Caenorhabditis elegans: one gene and its partner. The protein of the gene in region 1 interacts with the protein of each later gene in a pairwise test. Each region holds a gene or a part of one and is shown in the gene's direction. Other genes may lie near its edges.

Evidence for each region.
Region 2: the proteins of cct-4 (region 1) and Y39A1A.3 interact in a two-hybrid assay, tested with the Caenorhabditis elegans proteins (one large-scale study listed by BioGRID).

The regions. Positions count from the first base shown.
Region 1 is NC_003280.10:8,281,592-8,286,512, forward strand, and holds cct-4 (T-complex protein 1 subunit delta), read left to right. Parts: upstream 1-2,075; 5' UTR 2,076-2,076; coding exon 2,077-2,180; intron 2,181-2,226; coding exon 2,227-2,899; intron 2,900-2,948; coding exon 2,949-3,551; intron 3,552-3,600; coding exon 3,601-3,825; intron 3,826-3,872; coding exon 3,873-3,890; 3' UTR 3,891-4,120; downstream 4,121-4,921. Other genes in the region: nst-1 (Guanine nucleotide-binding protein-like 3 homolog), read right to left, coding at 1-293, 369-552, 601-1,366, 1,431-1,529, 1,579-1,597. UniProt on the Caenorhabditis elegans protein: Molecular chaperone; assists the folding of proteins upon ATP hydrolysis. Known to play a role, in vitro, in the folding of actin and tubulin.
Region 2 is NC_003281.10:10,594,485-10,598,411, reverse strand, and holds Y39A1A.3 (Sjogren's syndrome/scleroderma autoantigen 1 (Autoantigen p27)), read left to right. Parts: upstream 1-1,924; 5' UTR 1,925-1,943; coding exon 1,944-2,183; intron 2,184-2,525; coding exon 2,526-2,622; intron 2,623-2,755; coding exon 2,756-3,054; 3' UTR 3,055-3,154; downstream 3,155-3,927. Other genes in the region: epg-6 (Ectopic P granules protein 6), read left to right, coding at 1-365, 1,280-1,455; Y45F3A.9 (rRNA methyltransferase 1, mitochondrial), read left to right, coding at 3,250-3,350, 3,888-3,927.

The DNA.
Region 1 (4,921 bases):
GGAAGGCCTTCAACGATCTGGTTTTGCTCCTCAGCAATCGCGTCAATATCAAATTCTTTGCTGAATTGTGAGACAACTTCAGCAGGAACAACAATATCTTCCTTTGCAGTTCCCTGCTCTGGTGGATGAGTGTAATATCTGAGCTTTCCTGTATTCCAGTCGTTCAATACACGTTTGGCAGCAGCATTCACATCTGGACGAGCTCCACGACGAAGTTTTCCGATACGACGTGCAAGTTGAGCCAAGAATTGGTCAACTGAGTTAAAGTCGGCAAGATTGTAATGAAGCATAATCTGAAAAGAGACCAGTTTGAATAATTCAAAAAATTTAATCAAGGCTTTTGACGATTATTATTGTTTTAAACTTACAGTTTCCTTGCTGCAACGACGAAGGATTGCGTGAACTGGAGCAATTGGATCAAGCAAATTGTCGACGCGAATAGCATTTTTAAGAGCAACCTCAATTGGATCCAAATCCTTTTGACTGACGAGAATGACTCCCGGGGAATCAATAAGACGGATATTTTTGTCCAACTCAACTTCTTGAATTTCTCTGAAAATAAATTTGATAAGCTTAGAAAAACAACTGAATTTAACTTACTTGGTGATTCCTGGCAGATTTCCTACGTTGCATGCCTTTCTTCTCTTCAAACTGTTGATCACACTGCTTTTACCGACATTTGGGAAGCCAACAACTCCGACGCGAATGCTAGTTTTAATGTCTTTGTTTCTACAGTAATTAGCAAGAATTTTCATCACAATGTCGGCACCGACGCATTTCGAGGTCTCAGTGTTGTTCAAAATAGCGCTGTTGAAACGGCCAATATTCGACTTTTGCTCTTGTGTTGAAGCCTTGAAAGCAATTGTCGGGAATTGACCGCGAAGATACTCGAGCCACTTCTGAACGTTCTCACGGGGCACCAAATCGATTTTGTTAAGAAGAAGAACCAATCGCTTTCCACCTTTTAAGACCTGATCCTCTACAGACTTGCTACGACTGCCGAGCGGATCTCTGGCGTCAAGTACTTGGATAATAACATCAGCAATCTCGACAGTCTTCCTAACTTCACTGGCATAAGCCTTGATTGTTTTGTCATCCAAGGTGTTGAACTTCTCATGTTCTGCAGCACTGGCAACTTTCTTATCAAATTCGGTTCCTTGTTTCGATGCTTTTGCGACCATACTTTCAAAATTGGCTGGCAAATTATTTTTTCTCTTTTCGATGCGATGAATTTTTGCAGCTTCTTTAGCAGCTTCCTGACGAACTTTTATCTTCTCGCGCTCCTGCTCTGCTTGGACCAGAATTTCTTCTTTGAAAGGACATGAATTCGGAACACTGATAGTCTTTTCTTTTTTATTAGTGGTTCCTGTAATAAAAAATTTTCCCATTATTTCAATAGCCTTATTTGCATTCTTTAAAACTTTACTTACCATTCTTTTTAGCCTCCTTCTTCACTTTTCTGTTATGGTCGCGAACTTTCTTCTCAATTTTGTAGCGCTTGGCGCAGCTGACTCGCTTACTGGTTTTTTCTGTAAAAGAGGTATTTTATAATATTGTTACAAATGTATATCAACTTACTCAGACAGTATTTCGCCATTCTCTGCTGACTGTTGGTTTCTTAAAAAGACAAATTGATTTTTCGACAAGAAAGAGGAAGAGAAACAAGAAATCGTAATATATTTTATATAATTAAATGTTTATATTATTTATTTAAAACGTTTTTCGAAAGCAAAACATAACATGTGAAAGAAAATCGACAAGCAAGGCCAGAAAATAAAAAGAATGCGAGTATAAATTAAAGGGAGGCACGTTGGTGAACTCAAGTGGGTCTCGCCACGAAACCAGTATTTCCACAGATCTTTCTGGCTCCCGCTTGAAAACTGAACGTTAAATTTAAAAGCTATAGAATTTCTAGAAGAATTATTATTTGTTTCTATATTTTCATCAAAATTAATGTAATAAAAGTTCGAAAATAACATTAGAATTAAGTTTTAAAATATTATTCCCTCTATCCGTAAAGTTGTTTTATTCATTTCTTCTGAGAGTCTGACTTCAACATCATAATTTAATTTGCAGATGCCACCAGCAGTTCCAGCCGCAGCTGCAACAGCCCGACAATCGGCTTCCGGTCGCGAGCGCAATTTCAAGGATAAGGACAAGCCAGAGAGTGTTCGCAATAGGTGAGCTTTGTTCCTTTTTGTTTTTAAATCACTAGTTCATTTTCAGTAACATCGTTGCTGCAAAAGCTGTTGCTGATGCCGTCCGTACATCCTTGGGTCCAAGAGGAATGGACAAAATGATTCAGTCCGGGAATGGGGATGTTACCATCACCAATGACGGGGCTACCATCTTGAACCAAATGAGTGTCATTCATCCAACTGCTAAGATGCTCGTCGAACTTTCAAAAGCTCAAGATATCGAAGCTGGAGATGGAACAACTACTGTCGTTGTTATGGCTGGAGCTCTTCTTGATGCTGCTCAGAACCTGCTTTCTAAAGGTATTCATCCAACTACCATTTCTGAATCTTTCCAAAGTGCTGCTGCCGAAGCTGAAAAGATTCTTGACGAAATGAGTTCACCAGTCGATTTGTCAAATGACGCTCTGCTCAACAAGATGGCTACAACATCGTTGAACTCGAAGGTTGTTTCTCAACACTCATGGTTGCTCGCACCTATGGCAGTTAATGCTGTCAAGAAGATCATCAATTCAGAGAACGATTCCAATGTCAACCTGAAAATGATCAAGATCATCAAGAAAATGGGAGACACGGTTGAAGAATCCGAACTCATCGAAGGAGCTCTCATTGATCAGAAAACCATGGGACGTGGTGCTCCAACAAGAATTGAGAAAGCCAAGATTGGACTCATTCAATTCCAGATTAGCCCCCCAAAAACTGACGTGAGTTGATTGAAGAAATTAATTTTTTAAATTCGCATTCAAATTTCAGATGGAAAATCAAGTTATTATCACTGATTATGCTCAAATGGATCGTGCTTTGAAGGAAGAACGTCAATACTTGCTAGAAATTTGCAAGCAGATTAAAGCTGCTGGTTGTAATGTTCTTCTGATTCAAAAGAGTATTCTTAGAGATGCTGTCAACGAACTCGCCTTGCATTTCCTCGCCAAAATGAAGATCATGTGCATCAAAGATATTGAAAGAGAGGATATCGAGTTTTATTCAAGAATTCTCGGTTGCCGACCAGTTGCCTCTGTCGATCATTTTAATGCTGATGCACTCGGATATGCTGATCTTGTGGAAGAGATTCCAACTGGAGGAGATGGAAAGGTCATCAAGGTGACTGGTGTTCAAAATCCAGGACATGCTGTCTCTATTCTTCTTCGTGGATCAAACAAGTTGGTGCTTGAGGAGGCTGACAGATCTATCCACGATGCTCTTTGTGTGATTCGATGCCTGGTTAAGAAGAAGGCTTTGTTGCCAGGAGGTGGAGCTCCAGAGATGGAAATCGCTGTAAAACTCCGAAATCTGGCACAAACCCAACACGGAGCTACGCAATACTGCTGGAGAGCATTTGCTGATGCACTTGAGCTCGTAAGTTACATTGAAAGTAATTAAAACCAATGATGGTTACGTTATACAGATTCCATACACACTTGCCGAAAACGCAGGATTGTCACCAATTCACACTGTTACGGAGTTGAGAAACAACCATGCTAATGGAAACAGTTCCTATGGAGTAAACGTACGCAAGGGATATGTCACAGATATGGTTGAAGAAGATGTTGTGCAGCCACTTCTTGTTACAGCATCAGCTATCAAGCAAGCATCGGAATGTGTTCGATCAATTCTCAAGATTGATGACATTGTAAGTTTATTCACAACTTATTTCTTTTCTACAACCTTCTGTTACAGGTCATGGCTGTCCGCTAATCAATACCTACGATTGACAAAGACAGTTCATAATACTTCCTGCTCTACCGCCTGACGAAAATTGTTACTTTATGGTTTTGCTTCATCCCAATAAGGTCTCTTAAGATGATGTCAAGTTTTAATTGCCCATCATGTGTGTTTAATACCCGTAAATGTTTTGCTGCTTTTCCGTTTGCATCCTATCCCGTTTTTTTCTGTTTTCAGTTTTGATAAAGAAATGCCTTCAACCGTTTTAATTTTGAAATACAAAGTGTAGAATGTTGAGACATGTTGAACAGACGTAACAGTTGGTAAATAACTTCAGTTGAAAGGCACACCTTGAAGTTTTGATAAAGTTTTGTTTTAATTAAAAACGTGTTCACGTGAACCCAGTGCACGTGGCAATCAAATTTCGAAAGCCGATCAATTAAAAGTTATTTCTTTTTGCCCCGCTGCCCGGAGGAGAGCCCGTTTTTGATGCTTTAAAGGTAAATTTCAAGATATTTAAATAAATTAAAAAAAATATATATATATATCATCATTTACTATATATAAAGCGCGTGTCCTTCTGTCCCTATGTAGTTTGATCTCTGATCAGAGCAACGAAATTTTGGGAAACCTTATGCTAAATGCGCAGCAGACATCGATCGAGGTCCGCGATAGACACCGTATATCTAATGTGTTTTCTCAAAAAAGTCGGGGGCCGCGCCGTAGGTGCGGTCCACGGCTGGTATATATATATTTCCGAGCATTTTAATAGCTGAAACTTTAGCATTTCGAGACTGACAAATTAACAACAATTCAAACGATGTCTCCGTGAGAAGTTATGCAGGAGGGGCGACGGATTCCGGATTGTTGACGAAAAGGATTTGGTAAATGTGCAGACGACTGTTTAGTGTGAGTTAAATAGTTTATTTAATTCTTGGAAGAAGCGGTCACGGAAACTACAGTACTCTATACTAGATGTACTTAGTTTCGAAGTACTCGCTGTTGCAACATGTTGTGAAATATTCTATATTTCTTTTTTTCTGAAATTTATTAGCATTTTTTTC
Region 2 (3,927 bases), on another chromosome or scaffold:
GAAATCCCCGATTGTCATTGAAGCACACCTCACAGATATTGCCCAAGTCGCGTTGAATTGTCAGGGAACCCTTGTCGCCACAGGATCTACTAAGGGTACTGTAATTCGAGTTTTCGACGCCAGAACCAAGGGACCACTTTATGAACTTCGTCGTGGAACTGTTCAGGCTCACCTTCAGTGTATGGCTTTTTCACCGTGCTCGAGTTATTTGGCAGTGGCTAGTGATAAGGGAACTCTGCATATGTTTGGAATTCGAGATGCTGAGCCACAAAAAAAGAAAAATGTGCTCGAAAGGAGCCGTGGAAGCTCAAGTATTGTGAAAATTCAGCTGGATAGGCCTGTCATGGCTATTGGATTCGGAAAAAGTTAGATTTGAAATATTTTTGAAAAATTTTGGATAAGAACACTCCTAATTTGGATTTTTGGAGAAAATCTTTTAAAAAAATGTACTGTTTTTTTTCCAAAAAATTGAAAAAAAAACATAAAAAATTTTAGATATCTCGGTTTTTTTATAGGAGAAAATCAAAAATCAATAATATTCGATTTGTCGATTTTTTCTTTAAAAAAAAACGAAAAAAAATCAGAAAACTATGGTTTTATCAAAAAATATGTTATTTTTCCGAAAAATAAAAGAAAATTGCCTTTAAACTATTAAAAAATGACCGGAAATTATTGAAATTTTGATATTTTTCAAAAAAAAAAATTAAGTTTTTTCTTAAAATCGAAAAAAATTAGTAAAAATAATTTTTAAAAAGGCGAGGAAACTATGGATTTATCAAAAACATGTTGATTTTTATGAGAAAAACTTAAAGAAATTACTGGAAATTATTAAAAATTTGATATGGAAAAAAATCGAAAAAAAAACCAAAAAACATACCTTTCCGAATTTTCTGAAAAAATTTGAAAACTAGTTTTTTATTTTTTTTAAATCGAAAAAAATTATTAAAAACTAGATAATTTCCAAAATAAATTCGAAAATATTCGGCTTAGAGATCTGATATTAATTTTTTTAAATCATGTCCATTTTGTAGACGAATGAGAAATTATTCTGTTAAAAATTCAAAATGTTCCCGATTTTATTTTTAGAAATTTCGAAAAAAATGAAATTGCCCTCAAAAAATAATTTTTCAATATTTTTGAAAATTTTCCAAGCGAAATTTTTTTTCTAAACATCGAAACAAATTATCTGAAAGCGTAGCCGTACGACTATTAATTTCATAATATAAATTTAAAATTATTTGAATATTTATACATATGCCCAATTTTCAAGAAAAAAAAGTTCCAGAAACGCCGAAAAATCTGCAAAGTATCATCGCAATCTGCGCAGACGCCACGTACTGGAGACACGAATTCTACAAGGACAACACTGGAAATTTCACGAGTCATTTTGGGTCTTACGACGAATTGATCGAGGTCGCCAACGATTCATCGTTCTTCCGTACGCCAGTCGAGTAGAAATGTGGAAATGTGTATAAAAAATGTTCAAAATTGTGCTATATTCATCACTCAAACCTGCCATGTGCCTTTAAATTGCTTTAAAAAAAAAGAAATAATGCCATTTTTTTTTCCCGAGAAAGCCCCTCCCAATTGTTGGCATTTTTCGCCCTAAAATTCAAATTTAAAGGTGCAAATGGCCCTACTCACTTCATTTTCCCTCCACTTTCAATTTTTCGTACTTTCTCTCTGAATTTCCTCCTCTACGTTGCGTTTTGCTCAATTTTTCTGTTTCTGTGTGTACATTTTTGTTATTTTTTCCTTCTCTTGGTTAAAAATCCGAATAAAATTCAATTTTTCGTTTAAATTTTTTAGAAACATTTTGAATTTTCCGTTTATCGATCGGCGAAATACTCTTTTTTTTTTCAGAATTTCGAATTTTCGAACCAGAAAAATCGAAAAAAAATCGAAAAAATCTTTTTTTTTCCAGCTTTTCCGTTGCTCAGTTTATGGTCCACAAGAAGTTTGTGAATCTGACGTCGACACGAGAATCCACGTGGATTGACAGAACCCCACATCCCGCGGCACGCAATTATCTCGACGAAATGGCACCAATCAACGGAATTCGTGATGATGACGCTGCGTCAATTCGTCTCCGAGATAGCTTTCGAGATGAGGTCTCGAAGCGAATGGGCGAACTTTTGTTAAAGGGACAGACGATGTTGGATGAGTACTGCCCGACTTGCAGTGTAAGATGAAGACTAATATTACGGTAAACACTAAATTCTGAGAATGCGTATTGGGCAAATCATTTGACACGCAAAATATAAAATATCTCGTAGCGAAAACTACAGTAATTCATTAATTGACTACTGTAGCGCTTTTGTCGATTTACGGGCTCAATTTTTGCAAATCAAGATCCCGTAAATCGACACAAGCGCTACAGTGGTCCTTCTAAAGAATTACTGTAGTTTTCGCTACGAGATATTTTGCGCGTCAAATATGTTGTGCAATACGTATTCTCAGAATTTTGTGCTCCGGTAATACGTGGCCACTGACTGATTATTTCAGTTCAAATTTTTTTTTTTCAGGGAATTCTCATGGAGGACCGAGCTCTCGTGCGTCGTTGCGTCACCTGTGAACTTTTCAGAGAAAAATCGTCGGTTATTGTCGGCGAGGTTTCATTGCGTAAGGGATTTTGTCGCAAAAAATTACTAAAAATTAAATTTAAATTTTTTTATTTGAATTTCTAAAGATCTTCTGAAAAATGTCTTACATTTCGTGGCGAGACCCAGAAATCTATAGACCTATAAATTTTCAGAAGACGAAGACCTGAATGAAGCTGTGAACAACAAGATCCCAACCCCAGCGGCTCCAGTGAATAAACCAGCGAAAAAAGCAGTGCTCCAGAAATCTGCTCCAGCGAAAAAGAAGGAAGCTGTTCCGGCTGCTGCTGAGCCATCATCGTCTGATACAATTGAATCAGCCACCACTGCAGTCCTTCAGAAGCTCGAATGGGCCACCGATCGGCTCAATTCAACGGAAGAAGTCGCTCGTGTCATGGATTTTCTTTCCGTCATTCAAAAATCTGCCGAAACTCTCAAGGCTCTCCGTATTTGAATCTCATGTTGCTCTTTTTGTTTTCGAATTTTGTGGTTCAATTATTGCTTGTTGGTATAATTTGAAACATTTTCAAAATAAATAAACGCTTTTTCCATTTAAATTAATTTTTGAAAAACGTAGTAGTAAAATGCAAAGTTTGAATATCGATTTTAAGGACAATTAGCAATCAATAATCTAGAAAAATTCAGAAAAATGCATCGGACCGCCCGAAATTTTGCGGAGATCAAGCCGAATTTGTTGTTCCGAAAAGCAAAAATGGCTAGGAAATCCGCGGAGAAATATGTGGCCAAAAAGTGGGTCTCGCCACGATTACATCCCAGAGTTTTCAAAATTTAGGTCATATCGAAAATAACGAGTAAAAAATTAATAATTATGTCTTTAAGCTAATTTTCAAGCTTTGGGTCCTGACACGAGTAAGACTTTTGAACTACAGTAACCACTCCAGTACTTTGCAAAGGTGTGTACCTTTAAAGAATACTGTAGTTTCAAACTTTGATTGCTCCTGAATTTTTGTCGATTTTTCAGACTTTGGATAAAAATGTGTTTACTGTTTAAAAAAACCATAAGTTAAAAAAATCGATAATATATCCGCAAAAACTAGAAATTACAGTACTCTTTAAAGGCGCATTCCCATGTGCATTCGGCACCGTATTTTTTAGGCAATTCATTCGCATTTGGGTATAAAAGCCATTAAAACACGAGAAAAACCAGGAAAAAACTGAAAAAAAATTAAACGACTGGTTACGGTAGCTGAAAAGTTATTGTCGTGCCAAGACCAAACAATACAAAAAAATTAATAGCGAGGTTCTACAAAAACGCTATTTTTACAGAATTCAAGTACCTGAACTGCAAGGAGAAGCACTTTTTGGC